Arabidopsis thaliana: one gene and its partner. The protein of the gene in region 1 interacts with the protein of each later gene in a pairwise test. Each region holds a gene or a part of one and is shown in the gene's direction. Other genes may lie near its edges.

Region 1 (7,226 bases):
TCTTCTTCTCAATTGGGTATCACAAGCTTTTGCAGAAACCCCTTTAAAACCCCAACTTTCTAGAAACCCTAGATTTTTCGCCACCCAAAGAGCACTCGTCGATGCTGAAGTTTCCGGCGAGAAATGGGGTCTTAGAACTCGAAACGAGATTCGTAAAGTGGCTCAAGTTGCGATGTTTGATTACTTTTATCAAACGAGAGGTTTGCAGTTTCTGGTTGCTGAGAGTATGAGTAAGAATGCTCCTGTTTTTAATGATAATCTTTTGAAGAAGCTTAATGGTTGTGATGTTGATGTTGATGATGATGATGATATAGTTAAAGCTATTACTAGGTTTCTATGGTTTCATCCTGTTAATGAATTTGAGCCCTTTTTAGAGAGTTTAGGTTTGAAGCCGTCAGAGTTTAGTCATTTGATTCCTTGTGATAAGATGTTTTTGAATGAAGATGCTTTTTTGCTGGAGAACTATCATGTCTTTTGGAACTATGGAATTGGAAGGGAGAAGATGGGGAAGATCTTTAAGGAAGCTAGGGAAGTTTTCGGGTATGAAACCGGGGTTTTAGCTTCCAAGATTAAGTCTTATGAGGATTTGGGGTTTAGCAAATTGTTTCTATCGAAACTTATAGTTTGTAGCCCAAGTATCTTGATTGGGGATATGAATGTTGGACTGGCTAAGGTCATGGAGATGCTGAAAGCTATTGGTTTTGGTGTTGATTGGGTAACAGAGAACTTGTCAGAGGAGGTGTCTTATGATTGGAGCTCTATGCATAGATGTCTAAGTTTTCTTAGAGATTTGTATGTTGATGAAAATGAGCTATGTGAGTTAATCAGAAAGATGCCAAGACTTATTTTCGAGGATTCAGGGGAATGGACATTGATTCTAGCTGGGTTTGAAGCAAAACTAGGGTCATCCAGAAGTGAACTCTCTTCGTTGTTTCAGAAATTCCCTCAGTGTCAGAGTTTAGGTAAATTTGTTTTGAATTTAAGGCATTGCTTCTTGTTTCTGAAAGATATTGAGATGGATGATGACGAGATCGGTAAGATTTTCCGTTTGCACTCTTTGTGGATTGGTGTATCTCGTTTGAAGCAAACCAGTACCTTACTTATCAATTTGAAGGGTGGGAAAGGGCGGCTATGTCAAGTCATTCAAGAAAATCCAGAAGAGATGAAAAAATGGATTATGGGGTTAAGAGTCCAGCCATTACCAGCTACTGGATACAAGGTAAACACAAAGTCGAAAACAATGAAGACTCAGTTCTTGTTAGACCTCGGATACAAAGAAAACTCTGAGGAAATGGAGAGAGCACTCAAGAATTTCCGTGGCAAAGGATCTGAACTCCGAGAGAGATTTAATGTCCTCGTGAGTTTCGGTCTTACTGAGAAAGATGTCAAAGATATGGTGAAAGCATGTCCTAGTATCCTCACCCAGGCATGTGATATCTTAGAATCAAAGGTGAACTACCTTGTAAAGGAATTAGGTTATCCGCTTTCGACATTGGTGACTTTCCCAACATGTCTTAAGTACACTCTTCAGCGGATGAAGCTTCGATTTTCAATGTTCTCTTGGCTTCAAGATCGAGGAAAAGCAGACCCAAAGCTTCAAGTTAGTACTATACTTGTGTGCTCGGACAAGTTCTTTGCCACTAGATTTGTAAACCGTCACCCCGATGGGCCTAAGCATTTGGAAGACCTGAAGAAACTACTTGTGTGTTAGTAGAGATCAAGAATGCATCAGGATATATATAGTATTGACCACAACAATGCAAATGAGCCCCAAACACAAAGGAAAGATTCGATTTTGTATCTGATGAAGACATTTTTTTGAAGCAGTAGCTGCAGTTTTGTGTTATCTCCTGGAGCAGATTGCTATGTAAGTTTTACAAGTTCTATTTCAATTTTTTAAAAGTTGGAGAAAAAATAAACAAATTTGTTTAATCTCAACAAATTTCAATGAAAGGAACTCATAATATAACTGTGGCAGAATTCGAGAATGAACTTGAACAAAAACTAACTGAATAACGAAACTCATTGAGAAGATTAAGGTATATAAAAACACTATAAAGAGAGATTATAATGTTATTCAAACATTATCATATAATCAAGCCTCAAATAAAATCAAATAACGATGATCACAGTCTTTAAGAAAAAGAAAAGCCACGTGGCACGAAGGTTTGACTAGTTGACTCCAACGTCCTTAACTGTTTTTGCTGACGTGGAATATTCGCGCTTTGGCTTTTTTATTAAGTACCATCTCTCTAACTAAAGCTCCTTCTTTGATGTTCTCTCTTCCGAGTTTCCTCTCTGTTTGTTTTCCCGGAAAGCGAGAGAAAGTGCGAGAAAATTCCACCATTCTTTTCTTCTTTTCTCCTTTCGTTAGATGTCGGAGCTTAAACGTATCACTTTCTCTGCATAAAGCACCATTATTACTGAGAGTCGAGAGAGATTATAGTGATGAAAACCAAACAGCAATTGCGATTCCTCGCTACAATTCTGCTCACGACGATTCTATTTGTTCTGGCGAAGACTGATACTGATCCGCTTGAAGGTAAATTTCCAGATTCTCGTTTCATTTTTCTCAGTCTAGGAGTGAATCCTAGCTAAGATTCTTGTTCGTCGTTGTTCTCTGTTTCAATTTTACTTACTTAGGAACGAACTGTTACTTGATCATCACCAAAACACAGAAACCCTTTCTTGACTTGAAATTTCTATGGGTTTAGTCGCGAGTTTTAGATCTTTCGCTGTTACTTGATCATCACCAAATGACTGTTTAGTCTTCGGCTATATGTGATTGTTGTTTATTTGTGTTTCTCCGTTTAGTTTTGGCTCTTCAAGATCTCTACAAGTCTCTGAGAAATCCAGAACAGCTGAGAGGATGGAGATTAGAGGGTGGAGATCCATGCGGAGAAGCCTGGCTGGGAATTTCTTGTTCTGGTTCTTCTATAGTAGACCTGTAATCTCCTTGTTTAACCCTTTTCCTCAGTTTTTATTTTGTCCGGTTCGAGCAAAATCTGATTCATTCTATCGCAGACAACTGCGAGAGTTAAAGCTTTTGGGCAGCCTTGGAAACCAGCTTCAACATCTCCACAATTTGAAGATTCTGTAAGCAAACTTTTCTGGTTCTTGATTGTTAACTTCATTGCGAGACAGAGTCATTGTATTGTTGATATTTATTCAAAGCATTGGTCTTTACTTTGTTTAGGGATGTAAGCTTCAATAACCTTGAGGGTGAAATTCCGTTTGGCTTGCCTCCTAACGCTACTCATATGTAAGTGTTTAAGCAAGTGCATTCATCTTTTAAGCATACATTCCAGTGCAATTCACGAGTGTTTTCGTTGTTTGCCGATTACAGAAACATGGCTTACAACAATCTGACCCAAAGTATCCCTTTTTCCTTACCTCTTATGACATCTCTTCAGTCTTTGTAAGTGGCTTATTCCAAATGGATATCTTTGAAATATCTCATCACATTGCTTTCCTTTTATACTGATTTGTTAAATAATGGCTTCCTCTGTCTTCTAGAAATTTGAGCCATAATTCATTATCTGGACCTCTTGGAAATGTGTTTTCTGGGTTACAGATTAAAGAAATGTGAGTCTTCTGTTCAGTTCTGTTAGTCTTTCATCACCATATATAGGTGCAAGATACCCATTCATATTCAAATATTGACTTTGCTAGGGATCTGTCATTCAATAACCTGACGGGAGATCTACCGAGCTCTTTTGGGACTCTAATGAATCTGACTTCACTGTAAGTATCTGGTTTCTTATATCTGCTATCTGCTTTGTGCACGTTGGTATAACCTAATAACAGTTTTGATGCTGTGATAACAAAACTGCAGGTACCTCCAGAACAACAGATTAACAGGATCAGTCATATATCTCGCGGATCTTCCTTTAGCTGACCTGTAGTTTCACTCTCTTTGTGCTTTGATTTTCCATTTCATTGAACTTCCTTTATTTATGACCTAAACATATGTCTTCAGGAACATCGAAGATAACCAGTTCAGTGGTATTATCCCAAGTCATTTTCAGTCCATTCCTCATCTGTGGTGAGTTTATTATTCCCCCCTTCTCATAAATTGGCTCAGACACACCTATGACTCATGAAAATCATTGGTGTTTTCCTGAGCAGGATTTGGGGAAACAAGTTCCATGTAGAGCCCAACTATAAACCGTGGAAGTTCCCATTGGACGTCAGACCACTGATACAAAATGATACTGGCTATCCAACAACAGAGTCAAGTGCCATTATGAATTTTCCCAGACCTGAGACTCAGAAGGTCAAAAAGAAGAAGAAAGGCATAGGAGCAGGAAGTACCTTTTTACTGGTTGGTGGGTTAGCTTTGCTGGGAACTTTCTTTGCACTTTTCGCAGTTCGCATGAATCATCGACGTGCACAAAACCTTGCTGCTATTCACAGAAGCAACAATAGCATAGCATACTCTCTTCCAGTCAGTACAGGCCGAGGTGATATATGCTTGTCTCTCCCCTCATTTTTACAATGGCCATTCTGATTCCCTGGTGCTGACTTTTTACCTTCACATGTAACAGAATATCCTGTTGCAACTGAAGATAACCCACAGATTAAAAGGTTCCAGCCACCACCAGCTCCCCAACTCAGACATTTACCTTCTCCACCTGTCAGAATCGATAAATCTGCAAGAAGAAAGAGCTTCTCTGCAACATGTCAATATCCATCGTTCGCTAAGCTTTTCTCAGCTGCAGAGCTTCAACTGGCAACTAACTGTTTCAGTGAGGAAAATCTACTCGGAGAGGGTCCTCTTGGTTCTGTTTACAGAGCAAAGTTGCCTGATGGTCAGGTATATCTCTCTTCTCTCTCTTCAAACATTCAAAATTGGGAATTTTATTATTTGTGTCTCATCCATTGATGTTTTGTTAAAACAGTTTGCCGTCGTCAGAAACATCCCAATGTCTTCGCTATCTTTACATGAAGAGGAACAGTTTACTGAAGTGCTTCAGACAGCCTCCAAACTAAGACACCCAAACATTGTTACACTTCTCGGTTTCTGCATTGAGAATGGAGAGCATCTTCTTGTCTATGAGTATGTTGGCCATTTGTCGTTGTACAATGCTATGCATGATGAGGTATACAAGCCACTTTCTTGGGGCTTGCGTCTCCGCATTGCTATTGGAGTTGCCCGAGCTCTGGAGTAAGTATTCTATCTTCTCAAACTAGTGGTAGTAGCTATTCCCTACCCTTGCAGTTATTTATTTTGACTCTTCCCTATCTGGTGAATCAAAAACTTTCAGCTATTTGCACTCGTCGTTTTGCCCTCCTATAGCCCATAGCGATCTGAAAGCAACAAACATCTTACTAGACGAAGAACTTACACCTCGTATTGCTGACTGTGGGCTTGCTAGTTTAAGGCCACTTACAAGCAACAGTGTTAAACTTCGGGTAAGTAAGACAGCATCTGATGTGTCACCTAATTCTTTGACTCAGAGAGACCTAATGAGTTGTGATTTAGAGCAGGCTTCAGAAATAGCGATACAAAACACTGGCTACATAGCACCAGAACATGGACAACCAGGAAGCAGTGGCACAAAGAGTGACACTTATGCACTGGGAGTGCTACTCTTAGAACTGTTAACAGGAAGGAAAGCATTTGACAGGTACACAAGCGTTTCACATAATAATATAATCATTGATGCCTAAGCTAAGCTAATCATGACCCTTTTCTGATGGATGTTTTGCAGCTCACGACCCCGAGGAGAACAGCTACTGGTGAAATGGGCATCAACCAGACTTCATGACAGGCGAAGCTTAGAACAGATGATTGATGGAGGCATAGCCGGCACATTCTCCTCAAGAGTCGCCTCACAATACGCAGACATTATCTCCCTATGCACTCAGGTATTGTCATTAGAGTTTCTTCACTCAGGATCATTACATTAACTAACCATTCTTTCATAAGCAGGCAGAGAAGGAGTTCAGACCACCGGTTTCAGAAATAGTGGAAGCCCTCACTGCGCTGATACAGAAACAGAACAAGGAAGCAAGCAGTAGTGTAGCAGACAAGACCGACCCTTTTAGTAAATCTTTCTGCTCAACACGCACACGCTTCATCTCCTCACCTACCTTCAGCTACCTCTCCTCTTGAACATTTTCTGTATCTCTACTTCATGCACATATACTTTACTGTGAAAAGAATAGTTCTTAGCATATGATGATATACACGTATTAGTCTTGGTAAAAAGGAAGTTTCTTGGTATATAATAGAAATACAAAAGAGTTTGAAACAAGGCAAAATCCTAAAGCAAGAAACAGGGTCACTTGGTGTACTGAAACTAAGTTTTCTAGCAAATCCCAAAGATCAAACTAAGCAGAAACCCCAGCGTTCAACAATGTATTGATCTCTCCTCTTATATTCACAGGTCTTCCATCAAACATGGAAGAGAGACTTGTCTCACATAGCTCCTTGAGTTCTCTTGTTTTCGAAAGTGCAGCTTCCTGTATTCAATACCAAAATCAATAAACAGAATTTGTTAGATAATAGCCCCTTCCAATTCCAAATTTCTGATAATCCACAGTTTAGCCAAAACAAGCTTTTTAAGAACATGAGGTTACCTGTTTTGGCCATATAGCAGAAAGTGAATTCTGCAGCTCCATGCGTCTTCTACCCACATCTTTCAAGCTCTCTCTTAACTTCACTTCACGGTGCTTCTTCTCCTCCAGCTCTGAAACAAGCCTATCTAGGAATCTGTTCGACAAACAAATACATATATCAGAAGCTGTGGTACTCACTGTGATCCCCTGGCAGAGATTCTTTATCCTAACGCACCTTTTGGAGTTGAGGATCATGATCAGATCCCGAGATTTCTTGTTTGTTAGCAATGAAATGGCCATGGAGATGTCAACCACCATTGGCTCTATGGTTTCAGGAGAATACTGCTGAAGAACCATGGGGGAGACTGCTTGCACGTGGTGTTGCAAGGACAGCGTATCTTCATTTCTCAGTTCTATCAAACGCTGGTTCAAAAATGCCTTGACCTGACACAAGAGAAACGACATCAACTCAAGAAGCATATCCAGGATTAAACTGAGAATTAGATAGTTAGTGATAAGAGTACCTCATACAAATCATCAAGGATCTTATTCCTATATTCTGTCTCCAACAGCTGGCTCCTCTCTCCTCCACTCCCTAAGACTTGAGTTGTAGAATCTGTCAACTGTGTCTGGTTTGATTCTAGCAAAGCTGAATCACCTAT
Region 2 (5,214 bases), on another chromosome or scaffold:
TCTTTTAGGCCCCAACGTTTGAGATCTCTTTCTGTATCCAATCCCAAAATTAACTTTGATTCTCTGTATCTTACAAAATTACTTGCAACAATCTTGAAGGATATTATAACATGATTATGTGTAAGATCAAACAAAGAGATAATTGAGAAGCTGTTCTTTGAAGCCAAGAGAATCACTTTCAAGTTGTTAACTACTCAATTCAACAGTAACTCAGAATTCATTTCTAATCAGATTCCACTTTGTGTATAGTTTGATAAGTTTTCCATTGAGGCAAGGATGATAATAGCTCCTTGAGTAACTTACAGCTATACTCTTCCCAAGAGGTAACCGCGAGAGCTATACCCGTCAAGTCGAGTGAATCCTTTCGATCCTCACCAGAGCACGAATATCCAAAAGTTGTGGCTACGAGGTTCTCATCTAGCAGGAAAACTGATTTCAGGGCATTGATAGTTTCCAACTGAGAGTGGGACATAGCTTTCACCTCTTCTAATGTGTCATTTTCGACATTAGAAGTTACGAGTTCAGAAGCTTTCCAATGGTAGAACTGAACAACCTATTATCCAGCAAAAGAGAAGAAATAAGCATTTGATTATATATGATGAAAGGAAGCCCGTTTAACAAGACATTTACTATATCAACTAATCACTAACGACCTCGAAGAAACTCATGTGAATGTCAAAGAGAAAAGTACCTGAAGAGCATGAAGAATGTTGGCAAATTTTCGGGTGAGTAACTTTCCTCCTTTAGCTAATTGTAGTGGTCCCATAAGTTGTTCAGAGGCATCCGTAGAATGATCTTCGCCTTGTAAGCTATGTACATCAAAACCAAGAAGATGCAACCTCGCAACGCAAACATCAAAACCTATGTTTTGATTAGAACCATCTTGATGAGGACAGAACCAGTACATGTTAGTGGATGCAGGCAAAGGGAGGCACACTTCATGTGATGTACATTGTGAAAGACGAGAAAGAAGCTTGGAATCTTCGTCATGTGATGAGTCCCGGCTAAACCAGAGTGCAAGAGTCAATCTTTCTCCATCTGTTACCTCATCAACTGAGTGAATATTCCGGTCATCAGCTGTGTACATGATAACATCCTGCTCAAGAACACAAACTCATTATTCAATCTAAGTAACCACTAAGCCAACTGAAAAAGAACAATACTTACACCAGCCGATGGAGCAACGGTTACTGGTTCACCACTCTGAAAACGAAAAAGACCGCCTATGAAATCTTTCTCGTAACTATTCAAGTAACAAACTGCCTTCAAACCAACTAAAAACCAAAGTCATACACACATAAACCACAATATCAACAAGGACGTCTATAGATTACAAAAATGAGAGTGAATACGAACCGCAAAATCTCTTTGTTTTAGATATGATCTGTTATCATCACTATGCCAACCAATGCTAGCTCCTTTGCACCAACTGATTCAAAACAAAGAATCAATATTTACTCTTTTTTCCTGACTTGTTTTGTTAAAGAGACAGGGGAGAGAGACTAACCTAATCAAACCTGTGAATTCAATAAAAAGCTCATACTCACACCCAAATGTTTCCTCTATCTTCTCTTTCAACCTCTCTGTTAACTCAACACAACAAAGATCATCCCTTTGAATCTCACAAAAGTAAGATATAAAGACAAAAGCGAAATCTTTGAGTTTTAAAAGATTGACCTCTAATGGAGACAAAAGGGATGATGAGGTGAGGAGAATTAGTGGCAATGAGGTGAGAGAGAGTAGTGGAGAAGACATTTGGTCTGTACCCAATTGTACTGCTACTCTTGTGTATAAGCTCAAGTTCCTGTTTTTACCTCAAAATTAACCAAACCCACATGATTAGACACAAAATTAAGCAAAAAAGGGACAACCTTGCATTCTGCCGGCGACAGGAAATTGTGTAGAATTAGCCGAGGGTGCTCTTTCTCCGACATGTCTCTCCGGTTTGTGTAATGAATCCAATGAACCCAGATCGATTGTGGTTGTTTAGGGTTTCAGTTAATCCTGTTCTTACTTGTCTTGTCTATTTCGGTGTACCACCGCTTTTGGAATTAAACTGAAATTAGTTTGTTAATCTTTTTTTTCTTTTGTTCATTAGAATAATTAATTATATGATGTTAAAAAAAAATTATTATGTAAGAAATGTTAAGTCGGTAAGTTCCAATTAACTTAAACCGGAATTTTAGAAGACAAATGTTACAAAAACTTTTGAAAATAACTAATCAAAGTATCAAACTGAGGTAAAATGAGATTATACTAAGTGCTTACCACTACAATCGAATTTAAGTTCTTACTAAACTTCTAATGTTGTTCAACTTTTGCTATCATGAAATCCTCTACCAACCATCGATTTTTGTTCATTATTTACATATTTCTAGTTCAACATTATCACCACCACATTTGCTCTTAAACATAACCGAGAAGACAAGTGTTAAAAATCTCAATTTCCTAACCACCAGTCTAATTGTTGACTACTAAAACGTCTGTAATCCTCTAATCTCTAACTCTTAACACATATTGTTTAAAGAGCAAATTAAGAATTAAGACAATTATGAATCACCGATACACTTATTAAAGTACTTTCTCTTGTCTCTATTTTGACTTTTGAGTGGTACTGATAGGTACAAGAAACACAACAAACCCTAGATTTATCTTCATCTCTCTCAATTCTGTATCAAGCAAAGACGGATTCAACGATGTCTTCACCTGAATCACCTTCCGGTTCCGACTCATCCACACCACTTCTCCGTTCACGGCAATCATCACCACGTCGTCAACCTGTAATCGCGGTTCTATTAAATCGAGCTTCAGGACGACGAGGAGCTTCGATGGTGGTTAGAGAAACAGCTGCACAAGAGCTTGAAGAGCGACGAGCTGATTGGGGTTACTCGAAACCTGTTGTTGCTTTGGATATGCTTTGGAACACTGCTTTTGTTCTTGTTGCGATTGTTATGCTTTTGGTTTTTAAAGAAGAGAAGCCAAATGTTCCTATTAGGATTTGGATCTGTGGTTATGCGATTCAGTGTCTTGTTCATGTTGTCCTTGTTTGGCTTGAGTTTAGAAAGAGGAATGCTAGAAGCAGACCTGGAGATTTAGAAGCTGCTCAAGCTACGAATCAGGATAGTGAAGATGAAGACAACGATGAGAGGTTTCTGAGGTTAGCTCTCGATTCAATTATCTGTGCTGTTTTGTTCTTTAGCCAAATGATTTACTAATGATTTATGAGAATCAATTATTTTCAGCACTAAGACTTGTGAATCAATGAACACTATAATATCATTTGTCTGGTGGATTGTTGGATTCTACTGGCTTGTTTCTGGTGGTGATATCCTTCTGCAAAACGCGACGCATTTGTATTGGTATGTGTTGGTTTGCTCAATGTTTATTTCTTCTAGTTGAATGGTAATGACATCATTATGTTTATTAATGTTTGCAGGTTAACCTTTGTTTTCCTTGCATTTGATGTGTTCTTTGCCATCTTTTGCGTTGTGCTGGCATGTCTTATTGGAATCGCCCTCTGTTGTTGCCTACCTTGTATTATTGCTCTTCTTTACGCCGTCGCGGGGCAGGTATGGACTATAACAGTAACCCTTTTGGAAGAAATGAAAGCAATAAACTGCCTTTTGATATGTGTGTGTGTGTGTTTAGGAGGGTGCATCAGAAGCAGATCTCAGCATCCTTCCCAAGTACAGGTTTCACACGATGAACAATGATGAAAAGCAAAGTGACGGTGGTGGGAAAATGATACCTGTGGATGCAGCGAGTGAGAATTTAGGAAACGAGCGTGTGCTTCTTCCCGAGGATGCTGTAAGTTTTTGTTTTGAAAGTTATCTTGTGGATGTTTTATATGAAGCTTAGAGCTTTCTTTTGAATTGGGTTGGTATGTGTAGGACTGTTGTATATGTTTGAGTTCATATGAAGATGGAGCAGAGCTGGTCTCACTTCCTTGCAACCACCACTTTCATTCTACGTGCATTGTGAAATGGCTGAAAATGAATGCGACATGTCCACTATGCAAGTTCAATATCCTCAAAGGTAATGAACAAGAATGAAGTAATGTAGAGGAAACTTTTCTTCTTTTTATGTTGTGTTTCTTTTTGTTGTATATAGAGTAGAGAAAAAAGAAAATGATTGTGTTGTTTGTAAGTCATAAGACAGTTTGTTTCTTTGTTGAAATTTGTTGTCAATTCTCTTTTTTTTTTATCAAATAATAATAGATATATTCATCATGTAGCTAATCGCGTAAGACAAAAATAATCCTCATTTGTGACATTATGTTTGTTGTTCATGTAAACAAACATAAACCCCAAAGATATATCTAAAACAAATCAAGACCAACATAAACCCAAAAGATATATCTAAAACAAATCAAGACCAAGAGCTAAAGGTAATACAACAAGTTAATCTATAAAACTTCGGTCGCAAATGGCAGTGATATTCAAAAAACGAAACATTATATTGATTTACATTCAATTTAAATAGATTTTTTTTGTTTCTCATAACAATTTAAAAGGACTTTTATTAGTAGAGAATCAATCAAATTTGTTAAAAGAGAAAACATACATAATTGATTGTCCCTCAAAAAGAAAAACAAAGAGATCTCAACAGATTACAGTGATTAGATTAGTGTACACGTATTTAGTTAACAACAACAAAAAAAAAAAAAAAAAAAGACATATTACACGTTCCCTCCTCTCACGCGCAAAGCATCTCTTTGACTAATCACATCTTTTCTACGCTAATCACATCACTAACCAAAATAATTAACCATCCACCTAAATTATATACATACAATATTGCCATTTACTATATTATAATTACTAACCTCTATATTTCATACTTAAGTGCTTGATCAAGTGAACGTTGATTAATTAACAACCTAATCTAATCTTTGTTTTTTTTCCCTCTTCTTGTCTTGTCACACTTGCTATTAGAGAAGACGACTAGAGAAAGAAAGATAAACAACAACACTGTGACAGCATTTAAATCTCACTCTCTCTCTTGTTTCCATCACTACAAAAAAAAAAAAAAAAACGAACGATCTCTCTGAAACTATCTCTTTCTCTCTAGATATGTTGTTGAGACTCTGATTTGAAATCCCAGAGAAAAGCATTTGGATCCTCTCTAGAAATCTGCATTTTGAAGCTACTTTTTTGTTTGCATCTGAGTGTGTATAGATCCTGAGGAATTTTGATGTGTTGTTGAATCGGAAGG

The links.
Region 2: the proteins of SRF2 (region 1) and AT1G68070 interact in a protein complementation assay, tested with the Arabidopsis thaliana proteins (one large-scale study listed by BioGRID).

The regions. Positions count from the first base shown.
Region 1 is NC_003076.8:2,110,546-2,117,771, forward strand, and holds SRF2 (STRUBBELIG-receptor family 2), read left to right. Parts: upstream 1-2,170; 5' UTR 2,171-2,448; coding exon 2,449-2,542; intron 2,543-2,814; coding exon 2,815-2,947; intron 2,948-3,024; coding exon 3,025-3,096; intron 3,097-3,196; coding exon 3,197-3,262; intron 3,263-3,346; coding exon 3,347-3,418; intron 3,419-3,516; coding exon 3,517-3,585; intron 3,586-3,672; coding exon 3,673-3,744; intron 3,745-3,835; coding exon 3,836-3,901; intron 3,902-3,979; coding exon 3,980-4,045; intron 4,046-4,128; coding exon 4,129-4,463; intron 4,464-4,547; coding exon 4,548-4,816; intron 4,817-4,901; coding exon 4,902-5,167; intron 5,168-5,267; coding exon 5,268-5,415; intron 5,416-5,490; coding exon 5,491-5,630; intron 5,631-5,714; coding exon 5,715-5,871; intron 5,872-5,935; coding exon 5,936-6,118; 3' UTR 6,119-6,209; downstream 6,210-7,226. Other genes in the region: AT5G06811 (transcription termination factor family protein), read left to right, coding at 1-1,711; AT5G06830 (uncharacterized protein), read right to left, coding at 6,337-6,468, 6,586-6,718, 6,800-7,008, 7,089-7,226.
Region 2 is NC_003070.9:25,514,250-25,519,463, reverse strand, and holds AT1G68070 (Zinc finger, C3HC4 type (RING finger) family protein), read left to right. Parts: upstream 1-2,402; 5' UTR 2,403-2,696; coding exon 2,697-3,157; intron 3,158-3,242; coding exon 3,243-3,359; intron 3,360-3,436; coding exon 3,437-3,569; intron 3,570-3,648; coding exon 3,649-3,807; intron 3,808-3,890; coding exon 3,891-4,052; 3' UTR 4,053-4,232; downstream 4,233-5,214. Other genes in the region: ANN5 (annexin 5), read left to right, coding at 1-22; AT1G68080 (2-oxoglutarate (2OG) and Fe(II)-dependent oxygenase superfamily protein), read right to left, coding at 224-553, 692-1,096, 1,168-1,263, 1,357-1,429, 1,508-1,583, 1,678-1,804, 1,872-1,934.